Saccharomyces cerevisiae S288C: one gene and its partner. Each later gene encodes a partner of the first gene's protein in a complex. Each region holds a gene or a part of one and is shown on either strand. Other genes may lie near its edges. The genes, in order: CTF4 and POL1. A codon is read from its position in the direction of its gene.

Region 1 (5,282 bases):
AACTAGATAGTATAAAATGTTTGGTCTACCTCAACAGGAAGTCTCCGAAGAGGAGAAAAGAGCTCATCAAGAACAAACTGAGAAAACCTTGAAACAGGCCGCTTATGTGGCTGCGTTTCTTTGGGTTTCCCCAATGATCTGGCATTTGGTGAAAAAGCAATGGAAATAATTCCCCACTGAAGAAAAAAGATTGCATCTATGAATGACACTAAAATATGTTTCTCTTTTTGTATTTGCTTTTGATTAAATAATGGTCAATTTGCGCCCCCCACCTTATATAGTTTAGAGAAAGACGTGTAAATATTTTTTAAAAAATTGATACTGCTCTAATGAGCCTAAATCTCCTTTCTTCGCTTGTATATATGCGTATTCTGTATGTTTGTCCAGGCAGATTTTTCGGCTTTTTTTACCAGCTTTTATTATTAAAATGTGATAACCTTAATTGAAGGTTGCGATACAAAATAATCCTTTATTACGCATAACCAAGGAAAAGAGAAAATCAGTGCACATATGGGTTTACCTGAAGTTAACTTTCTTCGAAAAAACTGCATACTTGTGGAGTTAAAATTATTCTATCAAACAGTATACCCACCGAAGGAACTATATTGGAATAACCGAATAACTGCAGAATTGAGTACATTCTCCAATATTAAGTATGCAAGGCCGACTTTCGCAGTAAATAATGGCACATTTCAGAGAACAAGACCGAAATTAGACTTGGTACTGGCTTCATCTGATATTCGTAAGCTGGCTACGGTTTTATTTAATTTAAAAGCTCTCATAATGAATACGAAGGGTGAGGAACCCACTCTAACCACGATGACTAGTGTCCAAACGAACGAAGAGAAAAATGATAACCTGGAACAGAAATATTCAAGTCTGCTAGATAGATGGAATGGGAAAGTAGAAGTGCATGATTCTCCTTTCCTTCAACTCCAACGGGACAGCAACCTTTTGTTTGCTGAGAGGCCGGTACGTTACGTTAGCACTACAGAAGGTGAAGGCGTGGACATATCTAGTGAAGAGTTTTTCAGGTTAGAGGAAGAACAGTGCCGAAGGAATTATGATGTTTTGGTCGATGAACATTCTACACCATCAGTCGGGATGAAAGACGGCCAATACGGACCAAATATAATTCACTTTGAACCGTCGCTGTACCACACATATTCTTCTCTACCAATGAGTATGAAATTTTGGTTAAATGGTCTAGAAGACGACGAAACGACGATGATGAACATTGATGAGAAGTCAGCCGAAAATCTGGATATATTATTACATGGTTTCAAAGGATTTTCGAACAAGCGCGTTAAAGGATGAATTAATCATCCTCTTCATGTACTACTTATGTCCAATTTGAGTGTAAAATCACAGGTACAAGGCTTATCCATATTCGTATATATCTTCATAATGTTTCATAATTGCTTCAGAAAATTATTCAAAACGTCTTGTGATATTCATTAGGTGAAATCGTAGTTTGCCTGATACTTGAAAGAATCTCACCTGGAGAATGGGTGTTTTCACTAAGATTCGTTAATTTCCACTAATGATTAATTGTTAACTGTTTAACGCGACGCGTAATAAAGTTTCCTGAATACGCCAACATATGGGAACATATAGATTAAATTAATAAGAAAGCTTGGGAAAAATAATTGAGAAGGGCAAGAAGTGACGTAAATATACTAGACGTACTATTATGGTTTCAGTTATAGACAAGCTTGTTTTTGACTTTGGTGGGAAAACTCTGGTCTCTCTCGCACCAGATAATAATACTTTGTGTGTAGCCAATAAAAATGGCTTAACCAAGATTCTGAAGACAAATAACCCAGAAGAAGAGCCAGAGACTTTAGATTCTTCCAAATTGGTCTCGTCTATAAAATGCTATTCAAACTCGCACTTTCTGATGACTACAATGCAAGGTGATGCTCTTAGGTATAACATCGATTCTAGTCAAGAAGAATTATTGGCTAGATTTGCTTTACCCCTACGTGACTGCTGTGTTATTCATTCAGGTAAAATGGCCGTATTTGGAGGAGACGACTTAGAACTAATCCTTTTGGAATTGGACGATGAAACACACAAAAAACATGCCATTAAAATCGATGAACAAGTTTCTCAAATTTCTTACAATTCACAGATGAATATTTTAGCAGTTTCAATGATAAATGGTAAGGTACAAATTTTTTCTCTGACATCTACTATTCCAAACAAAGTTCATGAGTTAAATGATTACATAGTGGCCAATTCATATGATGATACACACAGAGATAAGATACTCTCGAATATGATGGATGATATAGATAAAGACAATGATAATGACCTGAGTGAAACGGCTGATCCAGATGAGAACAATGTAGCTGATCCAGAATTCTGTGCTGCTAATAGAATTTGCACGAGAGTGGCTTGGCATCCGAAGGGTCTGCATTTTGCGCTACCATGTGCAGATGATACAGTAAAAATATTCTCTATAAAGGGATATTCCCTACAAAAGACGTTGTCCACAAATCTCTCATCAACAAAGGCTCATTTCATTGATTTGCAATTTGACCCGTTACGTGGAACTTACATTGCGGCAGTAGATTTAAATAATAAGTTAACGGTATGGAATTGGGAAACTTCCGAGATCCACTACACCAGGGAATTCAAAAGAAAAATTACTAATATTGCCTGGAAAATCCAAGCGGACTCAAAAACTCTAGACCTTGTTTTAGGTACCTGGTCCGGTAGTATAGCCATTGTCCAAAATTTGGCAGAGTCCGTAGTATCTAATATACCTGACCAATCTGTTGCTGAATCTTCAACTAAACATGGGCTTTTTGTAGACTCCGAATCTGACTTGGAAAACTTAGAGGGAAATGATGATATAAACAAAAGCGATAAGCTATTTTCAGATATTACTCAAGAAGCGAATGCGGAAGATGTGTTCACTCAAACACACGACGGCCCCAGTGGATTAAGTGAAAAGAGAAAATACAACTTCGAAGATGAAGAAGACTTTATTGATGATGACGATGGTGCTGGTTATATTAGTGGCAAAAAACCACATAATGAACATTCTTATTCGAGAGTACACAAGACTCATTCGTTTCCAATCAGTTTGGCAAACACAGGAAAATTTCGTTATATGCCTTTTTCTCCAGCGGGAACACCTTTTGGCTTTACTGACAGGCGTTATTTGACAATGAATGAAGTGGGCTACGTATCTACTGTCAAGAATAGTGAGCAATACAGCATAACTGTCTCTTTTTTTGATGTTGGACGTTTTAGAGAATACCATTTCGAGGACTTATTTGGCTACGATTTATGCTTCCTAAATGAAAAAGGCACTTTATTTGGCCAATCCAAAACTGGGCAGATACAATATAGGCCACACGATAGCATACATTCAAACTGGACCAAGATTATTCCTTTGCAAGCTGGTGAGAGAATAACAAGTGTGGCAGCCACCCCGGTTCGCGTTATTGTTGGTACATCATTAGGCTATTTCAGAAGTTTCAATCAATTCGGGGTTCCATTTGCTGTTGAAAAGACATCCCCAATTGTAGCGCTTACTGCTCAGAATTATAGGGTTTTTTCAGTACATTATTCGCAGTTTCATGGCCTTTCATACTCTTTATCTGAATTGGGTACTTCTAGTAAAAGGTACTATAAAAGAGAGTGTCCACTTCCAATGAGTTTACCAAACATTAATTCTGATATGAAAAAAGACGCAAATCTTGACTACTACAATTTTAATCCGATGGGCATCAAAAGTTTGTTCTTTTCAAGCTACGGAGATCCATGCATTTTTGGGTCCGACAACACGCTTCTATTGTTATCAAAGTGGAGATCACCAGAAGAAAGTAAATGGCTCCCTATTCTAGATAGCAACATGGAAATATGGAAGATGTCAGGAGGGAAGGAAACGACAGATATACATGTCTGGCCCTTGGCTTTGGCGTATGACACATTGAATTGTATCTTAGTTAAGGGCAAGCATATATGGCCCGAGTTTCCCCTTCCGTTGCCATCCGAAATGGAGATTAGAATGCCAGTATTTGTTAAGAGTAAATTACTAGAGGAAAACAAAGCTATATTAAATAAAAAGAACGAAATTGGAGCTGACACCGAAGCGGAAGAAGGGGAAGAAGACAAAGAAATACAGATTCCTGTTTCTATGGCGGCGGAAGAAGAGTATCTGCGCAGCAAGGTTTTGTCAGAGCTGTTGACAGATACACTCGAAAATGACGGTGAAATGTACGGCAACGAAAATGAGGTATTGGCAGCATTGAACGGTGCATATGATAAGGCTTTGTTACGTTTATTTGCGTCTGCATGCTCAGACCAAAATGTTGAAAAGGCTCTTTCGCTTGCTCATGAATTAAAACAAGATAGAGCACTTACTGCAGCCGTTAAGATATCAGAAAGAGCTGAGCTGCCCTCTCTCGTTAAAAAAATTAATAATATAAGGGAAGCTAGATATGAACAGCAATTGAAATAAAAAAATGTAAAATATATATACGCAAGAGACAATTATTTGATACCTGTTCATTTGTTCAAATCATCGTTCAAAATGCTCCCACATTAACATATATTTCTTTGAATGCGACGATAATAAAGAGTTACGTTGAACATGATCTGAGCTGGAAGCGTCCTTGCGAATTTTCGCGAAAGGAAAAAGTGAAAAAATATGAAAAAAAAAAAAAGAGATGACATTTTATAGATGAGCTTTGATTAAACAGTGTAACACCTGGTCCTGTACCGTAAATATTCAAATAAGCATCAATTCAAAGTTCTTTATTTCTTCTTTAGCATTTCAAAATTATAGAAAATCTAGAAAAGATGTCAGATGTTACCCAACAGAAAAAGAGGAAAAGATCCAAAGGAGAAGTTAATCCATCAAAACCCACAGTAGACGAAGAAATCACAGATCCATCCTCAAACGAAGATGAACAACTAGAAGTTTCGGATGAAGAAGACGCATTGGAATCTGAAGAAGAATTCGAGGGTGAAAATCCAGCCGATAAAAGAAGGAGGCTTGCAAAGCAATATCTGGAGAATCTGAAAAGCGAAGCTAATGACATTTTAACTGATAATAGGAACGCTGAAGAAAAAGATTTAAACAATCTCAAGGAAAGAACAATCGACGAGTACAACAATTTTGATGCTGGAGATTTGGATAAGGATATCATTGCGTCCAGGTTAAAAGAAGACGTTGCTGAACAGCAAGGCCGAGTCTTCAGATATTTTGGCGATAAACTTCTAATATCTGAAGCAAAACAGAGCTTTACCAGGGTAGGGGAAAA
Region 2 (6,893 bases), on another chromosome or scaffold:
TAATCTCATCTCTGTGGGGATCCTCCAGAGTCTGAAAATTGGGAGAAGACATATCCACAAATACTCTAGAATCAACGCTTCGACATATATCCCTCGGCGTTAAGGTAGACATAGAATACTTCCTACTATAAAATGGGTTTGAATTGAGAACTGTTGATTGAGCCCTTCTGGGAATTTTCATATTATTGGAAGGATGCCTTAAATTTCCGTTTCTTCGGATCCCAAGGTGCTCACCATCTCCATTGTTAGTGACCATTGATGATGTGTTCTAGGATATTGTTATGTTGATTCCAGATTATGAATGACGTTGAAATGTGTTTTAGAGGAGGAATGATGAGTGCCTTTGAACCTAAGGAATCAGATGGCTAAAAATGCTATGTCACCTCGAAAGCAAGAGCAGATCAAGGTAAATGATATCCAACTATATTGTGGGTATTGCTTTTATCAAACTGGCTTATGACAGTGCTTCACAAGATTTAAGCATTCTATTTCATTGATGAAGCTGTTCGCTTATCTGATCTTGCTGATAAGGCGAATCTTAATGCATGGGTTTATTAAAGGATGATGCATGTGAGAACTGATCACCAGAGCCGAAAAAACATTCTCAGAATATCGCTGAAAACCTTCAATAATAAAAGCTTCCTAGCGCTCCTTCCGATGTCTGTACATTAGGTATCTAGTAGGATGCGTATGTACAGTTGTATTCTTTTCTTACTATATAGAATATTCATGAGATCACACAACACATACAAAATACTTACCTAATTTAGCATGAAATCAAATATGCTAGTCATATCAACGTAGCGACGTCCACAATCGTTCAAATATTTTTGAACAACGCTCCGGCCGGTTTCCATTAGTTCTCTGTTTTGTTCTGTTAAAGCCTTAATAGATGATTCTGTCAGCTGTTCCTTGGGGTAGTCGAGATCATCGGGTAGATATATTGGCTTCAATTCTTGCTTTTTATTTTTTTCACAATCGAATAAAGAATCGAAATATAAAAGTTGATTGTACAATTGCTTGTCACTGTATTTGTATCTCATGACACCCGTGCAGCCGTCATTCAAACAACGCTTACCAAAAACGGAGACTTGTCTTGTAACTATACCGCATGTGCTGTCATCACACTGTAACCACCCTGCGTAATATAAGGAAATGTGTGCCCTTATAGAATGCTCTATTTGGCTAGTTAATTGAAGAGGAGTAAAAAGTTGCTCACAATGCTTGCACTGTAAACCATTATATGACACGCGATAGTAATTTGAAGATACAATACCACCAAATGGAAACCTTTTATCGCATGATGGGCAACTTAATTCTAATGTTACAGTATCCTTAAACCTTTCAACGTCTGTAATTGTTGTTTCTAAGGGTTGCAAATTATTAATATCTTCTCCATTGTTATTACCGCCCTCTCTTCTAAAATACTTTTTACTATCTAAACCAAGCGCTTCACTCAAACGCACCACGTTGAAGCTATCAATTCTTTCTAACAACCTTTCTACCGGCGCGAATATTTGTTTCTCGAGATAATATTGTGGATCAGGTATCAAATTGTTACTTTTAATCATTACCTCATTCAATGCATGGGCACGTTCAGCCACAGAAAGAGCCGGCGTATCCGCTGCATTGTCTATTTCATCCTGCTTTGTGATCACAAAAGTGATGACAGAGCCAGCTTTAACAACTCTACCAGCCTTACGCATTCTTAGAGCTACTTGGACTGCAGGCATGTTTTTACCACCTGGGTAGGCCTTGGGATCTTTTGAAAGCTTCATATTGATCTTATATTTATCAATTCTAATGTTATTGGTTTCCACTTTTATTCTGATGTCTTCTAAGTAATCATACACTTCTTGCAATGCTTCTTCTGGGTCCTTATCTGACAGGATGGTGTTTAAAACATGTATAGAAACGTCCCTCGAAAGTGGACAAAATTCACGACGCTTCATGTCCAACCCTTTAACTTCTAGAACAGTAGTTCCATTACCATTTTTGTCCAAATTTACAGTCAAAGCAGCGTACTTTTTCTTGGCATGTAATAGTAACTTCTTAAAAACATTATCAATATCAATCTCCAATAATCTATAGCGCTCATTTACTAGCCTTTTAAATCCCAAGCCAATTTTAATTGCATCCGCATAATTATCACAACCGGTATCTATCATGACCGAATCTGTATCACCATAAACTACAAGAAGATTCATACTTTCAGCTAGTTGTCTTGTATTCATTAAAATCTCACGACCCTTATTAGTGACTAACATGGCGAGCGGCTTTGCGTAAAATCTACTGTTAACATAACCCAAACAACCATACATAGAATTGGCAGTCAATTTTAGAGCTTGTTGACGAATATCACATTGAACTCGCTTATGGGGATCAGTTTCAGTTTTCATCACCTTCTTAACTTCACGTCGACGATCCACCAGATTAGCTAATAACCTTGGTAAAACACCCTGATCCACCTCTGAAGGAGGTACGCTTGGTAACTCATCGATATCTTCCTTATTTCTATCAACGGTGGTAAAACATATATTAAATTCCTGGATAATAGATGGATACAAAGAATTAAAGTCCATGACTAAAACGTAATTCTTATGAAGACCTTTCTCAGGTTCAAAAACTAAACCACCCTGATATTTTGCCTTTTTAGAATTAACTGGTGCATCAGCATTTTCTTCATTTTGTCTTTGTTTCTGAGCTCTACTTCTATTGCCTTCTTTGTCAGGAACAATAAAACCATTTCTTGAAAATTCATGTAGTAAGATATACTCATTTCTACCAGCTCTTGTACCGCCTAGCGTTTGGGCCCATGCATTACCAGCCAAATTTGTCAACTGTTTAGTCAAGGTTAATAATTGAATTCTATAAGACACCTCAGCAGAAATCATACAATTAGTAATATTCTCTTGTAGGGCCATTGTCATACTATTTACATCATTTTGGTATTGTGGATTTTGATAATCAATATCTAACGGCTTATGCTCCTTTTCACATGTAACTTGATACATCTCTGAAAGATCCCAACTTTGACATTTGGGTGTTAATGATTGACCCATTTCATTGGCGATATCACATATCAGCCTACCAGAGCAAATGTCACTAATAAAAAAATGGTTCATATTCGAATTTCCTCTACCGAATTTTTCAGGCCAAGTCCTTCTTAAACGACGGCCAATAGAGCTGAACGTTGGAATGTTGAGATCATGCATTCTATGAGCTAAAACATCTAAGTAGACATTTTGCAAACGATGGCCTATGATAACATCTGGGTCTTCCACTTTTAACATAGCACAAAAACAAGATAGCATGGCCTTTTCGTTGTTGAACAACCTGACTCTACCGGGTAGTTTCTGTTTTGCCAGTGCAGCTAAACCTAATGGGAAACTAGTTGACTGAGGCGGCCTTACTAAAGTACACAAGTCGTCTGGTTTTATATTTTCAGGTATCGGTGAATCCAACGAGATATTTCTATATGCTGATAACGTTATCGAAACAATCTCTTGCTTATTTTCCTTGGGATTCATTAACGTCTGAATCGATAAAGATAGACATCTCAGATTAGGCATTGTCTTTGTTGTAGTAGGCGTGATATTCTGAGGCTTATCTACCGAAACTTCAACCGCACAGTGAGAAGCATTACGAATTGAATTGAAATCTGCTCCCTTTATATCTAACCAGCATGGTCCCATAATCCTATTTTGAATAACAAAACTTTCAAAAATATTGGAATTCCCACCAAAAACATGATAAAAGGTATCGCTAGATAAATCCGATGGAATGGTGTCTCGACTGGACTTCGGTGTTTGGTATGGAAGTAAGACTTTCAAATAATCACTTTCAGATGGAATGTCAGGAAGCTCAAACGAATATTTCATTTTTTGAGGTTTAGCGCGGATATTATCCAGTCCATATTTATCCATCAGTAACGGAATTATTTCCTCGTGTATATCGGTAGGTGTTTTACCCTCTCTTGGAAGGAAAAATAGCTCTCTACAGAGACCGTTGATTTGAACCATGGCTGACACACAATTATCATCCTTTAGTTTAACCTTACCAAATAAAATCAAAGTGTTGTTCACTTCACAGTAATCCAACCAAAACATTTGGAAAGTATCAGTTTCCGGATCTACCACATCTTCCTTTTTGACATTAACCGCAAGTGTAGCAACATCGGTGTTGCTCTGCAAAGATTTACTTGGAGTTAGTCCTTTAATACCGATTGGCGTTCCGGGTGCTGTGACAAACGGTGAAGTTGAAGGGTTACTTCTTGAGTCTATATTCACGCGTCTAGTTGTTGTCACACTTCTCATAGTTCTTCTTTTCAGAATAATATCTTCATCACTATCTTCATCATCTTCTTCATCAGCCAAACTTTGAGCGGATGGTGGATTTGCTAGTAACGTATCTTGAAGTACATTCTGTCTCTTTGTGGCTACTACTGGGGAATTTTCCACATCATCCAATAAATCCTGTACATCATTTGCGTAGCGCAGTTTCCTGCTTTGTAATTTTAACGGTGATGATTCGATTTCTAAATATTTATCAGTACTTGAATCTGGATCAATCTTGACTTTTTTAGAAATACCGGCATCATGACTTGACTCATCGTTTCCGTTAACTCTCTTTATTGACGATTTAAATTCACTAGTCGGCGAAGAATTTAAATTTTCCCTTAATTTGGATGGCAGTAAAATATTGGGTTTTTCTACTTCACCAGATTCAAACTCACCAAGAATGTCATCAAAATTATCGATGGGGATACTTTTTTTTTGGGATTTTTTTGCATGTGCTAGCAGTGTTGATTTGGAATGTTGAGTTCGCAGCATATCTGTAATCTGGTGGTCTTTCTCCCTTTTTATATTCTTCTTCCTTTTAGAATCCTTGCTAGCAAGGTTTCCAGTGTCTTCATCACTTGAACTGTTATCAACTTCCCTCCAATCTTCTTCGACACCACGATCGACGTAGCCTACACCATCGTCATCTACAACAAAATCGTCATGCAGCAATTCCTGGCGCTTTCTGGCCCTGTATTCTTTTTCGTCGATTTCGTCGTATATTCTGTCACCATCTGATTCGTCACCTTCGTAATCATCGATGGATGTACCATTTCGAGCGGCTTGCAGCTTTCTCAATTTTTCTAATTTTTCACTTTTAGAAGACATTTTCCACTGTTTATTTTATGCCTTGATACTATTTGGTTTCTAATAGCAGAGTGAAGACAGTTTTTTTTCTCGTGAGTCTGAATTGGTATGTGTTCGTTGTCTAGACCAAGAAGATATATATCATCCAATGAGTAAAGAATTTAATTCAGTAAAATTGGATACACGCGACGCGTTTTACTTATAGGCTAACAAAAAAATTTTAACGCGTTTGAATAGATGTGTGATGAATGAAGAATAGAGATTGCAGGCAGTACAAGAAAAAAGTTATATTTCTTTAAGAAAAATGCACGTATATATATATATATATATAATTAAACTGTATAGTCTGTTATTTTATTCTTTCTGAACCTTCTCAAAAATTTGCTTCTTTAAGCTTTCAGCTTTTTTTATTCCTTCCGTTTCACCGCTACTCAGAACTAAATTCTTTAAAAGCTTGTTTTCCGTTTCTAACGTATGTATCCGTTTTTGTAAGGATGCTGCAATTTCGGTCAGTTCATGTATCGATGATTCTAACTCCTTTTCCTTTAGTTTTTTTTTTTGATGAGATTTTTTCGACTGTATCAATAAATCTTCATCGTCGTCCCCTAACTCTTTCTTGATCAGTTGCTTCTTTTCAAAGCCGTGTAAATCTGCATCGTCATATTCATCGTCTTCATTATCAGAATACTTGCGGTCGACGGGTACTTTTTTATTTTTCAAATCTCCGGAGTGTGATCTTTTTAAACTATTTTCCTTGTGATCAGAAGAACTTGCATTTAAAGTTGGCTCGGATCGTATCTTGGCAATTTCGTCTCCACGCGTCGTACTTGACTTAATAACAGCGTTATTATGATGGACATTATCGTTTCCATTGTTACCGTCACTCTCTCTTGATATTTTATGATCGTTTCGTGAAGGTTGTCGTTGATTGTGAATATTATTACTTTTTGGATGCTTTATGCCCAGTTCCAAAATGGAGCTTAGAAAAGAAGCCTCTGCTACTACACCGTGCTCATTGAACGAAGGCGACGTTGATAAGGTAGTTGGCGCAGCAGTTTCAGCCGGAGAGGGTGGTATTAAGACACTTAAAAGTTCGTTGATGTTTTTTAGAATGGGTGCCTCTTGACTGTCATTGGTGTTGATGTTTTTATTATTATTACTGTTATTTTCCCTAATCTTTTTTTGATGATGATACGCCATTATTGCGGCTATAGCATCTATTTGATCATTGTCAAATCCCGCGCTGATCAACGAGTTATATGCGCCGTTGGGCACGTTGACCCTCGGTAATAGAGTTACTAAAACAGAGGTTGGTATAATTGAATAGTCAGGAACAGTTATATTGGGGGCTTTGTTGGAGCTGTTATTATCGCTGTTACTATCGACTTTGCTTTCCGAATGTTTTCGTTGTTGTGAAGAGGAATTTTGAGCAGAAGTGACATTGCTTAGGGGGGAGGAGCGGTTCGGTGTGTGTGTTGTCCTATGTAGTAGATTTGATAGCGCATCCACTCCATTGTCACCGGTAGTATTGTTCTCAGTTGATGTAATGTCAACATTTGTGAAGCCGCCATGGTCGATTGATGTCATATTAGTTGCGTCAGCGGGAAACTGAGAAGGGCTTCCCATAAAGTTTGGCTCAAAAGGATGGTTATTTTGCATATTGTCGCCAAAGTTGTTTGTTTCGCCGTTATTGCCATTTCTTTTGTTTTTGGACGAAAATCGAGACTTTGATTGGTCGTATTGGGA

Evidence for each region.
Region 2: the proteins of CTF4 (region 1) and POL1 are in contact, whole or in part, in a crystal structure (PDB 4C93), measured with the Saccharomyces cerevisiae proteins. Residues at the interface, in NP_015461.1 of Saccharomyces cerevisiae: Asp863 (codon at 4,280), Lys864 (codon at 4,283), Leu867 (codon at 4,292), Arg868 (codon at 4,295), Ala871 (codon at 4,304), Gln891 (codon at 4,364), Arg893 (codon at 4,370), Ala894 (codon at 4,373), Ala897 (codon at 4,382), Lys900 (codon at 4,391), Ile901 (codon at 4,394), Arg904 (codon at 4,403), Ala905 (codon at 4,406); in NP_014297.3 of Saccharomyces cerevisiae: Phe140 (codon at 4,751), Asp141 (codon at 4,748), Asp142 (codon at 4,745), Ile143 (codon at 4,742), Leu144 (codon at 4,739), Glu146 (codon at 4,733), Phe147 (codon at 4,730), Glu148 (codon at 4,727), Ser149 (codon at 4,724).

Annotation. Positions count from the first base shown.
Region 1 is NC_001148.4:797,541-802,822, forward strand, and holds CTF4 (chromatin-binding protein CTF4), read left to right. Parts: upstream 1-1,693; coding exon 1,694-4,477; downstream 4,478-5,282. Other genes in the region: TOM5 (Tom5p), read left to right, coding at 17-169; MSS18 (Mss18p), read left to right, coding at 511-1,317; ribosomal RNA-processing protein RRP9, read left to right, coding at 4,819-5,282. UniProt on the Saccharomyces cerevisiae protein: Accessory factor for DNA replication. It plays a role in accurately duplicating the genome in vivo.
Region 2 is NC_001146.8:428,362-435,254, reverse strand, and holds POL1 (DNA-directed DNA polymerase alpha catalytic subunit POL1), read right to left. Parts: upstream 5,169-6,893; coding exon 762-5,168; downstream 1-761. Other genes in the region: AVT4 (Avt4p), read right to left, coding at 1-256; MET4 (Met4p), read right to left, coding at 5,502-6,893. UniProt on the Saccharomyces cerevisiae protein: Catalytic component of DNA polymerase alpha, which in complex with DNA primase (DNA polymerase alpha:primase) constitutes a replicative polymerase. POL1 has a role in promoting telomere replication during interaction with CDC13.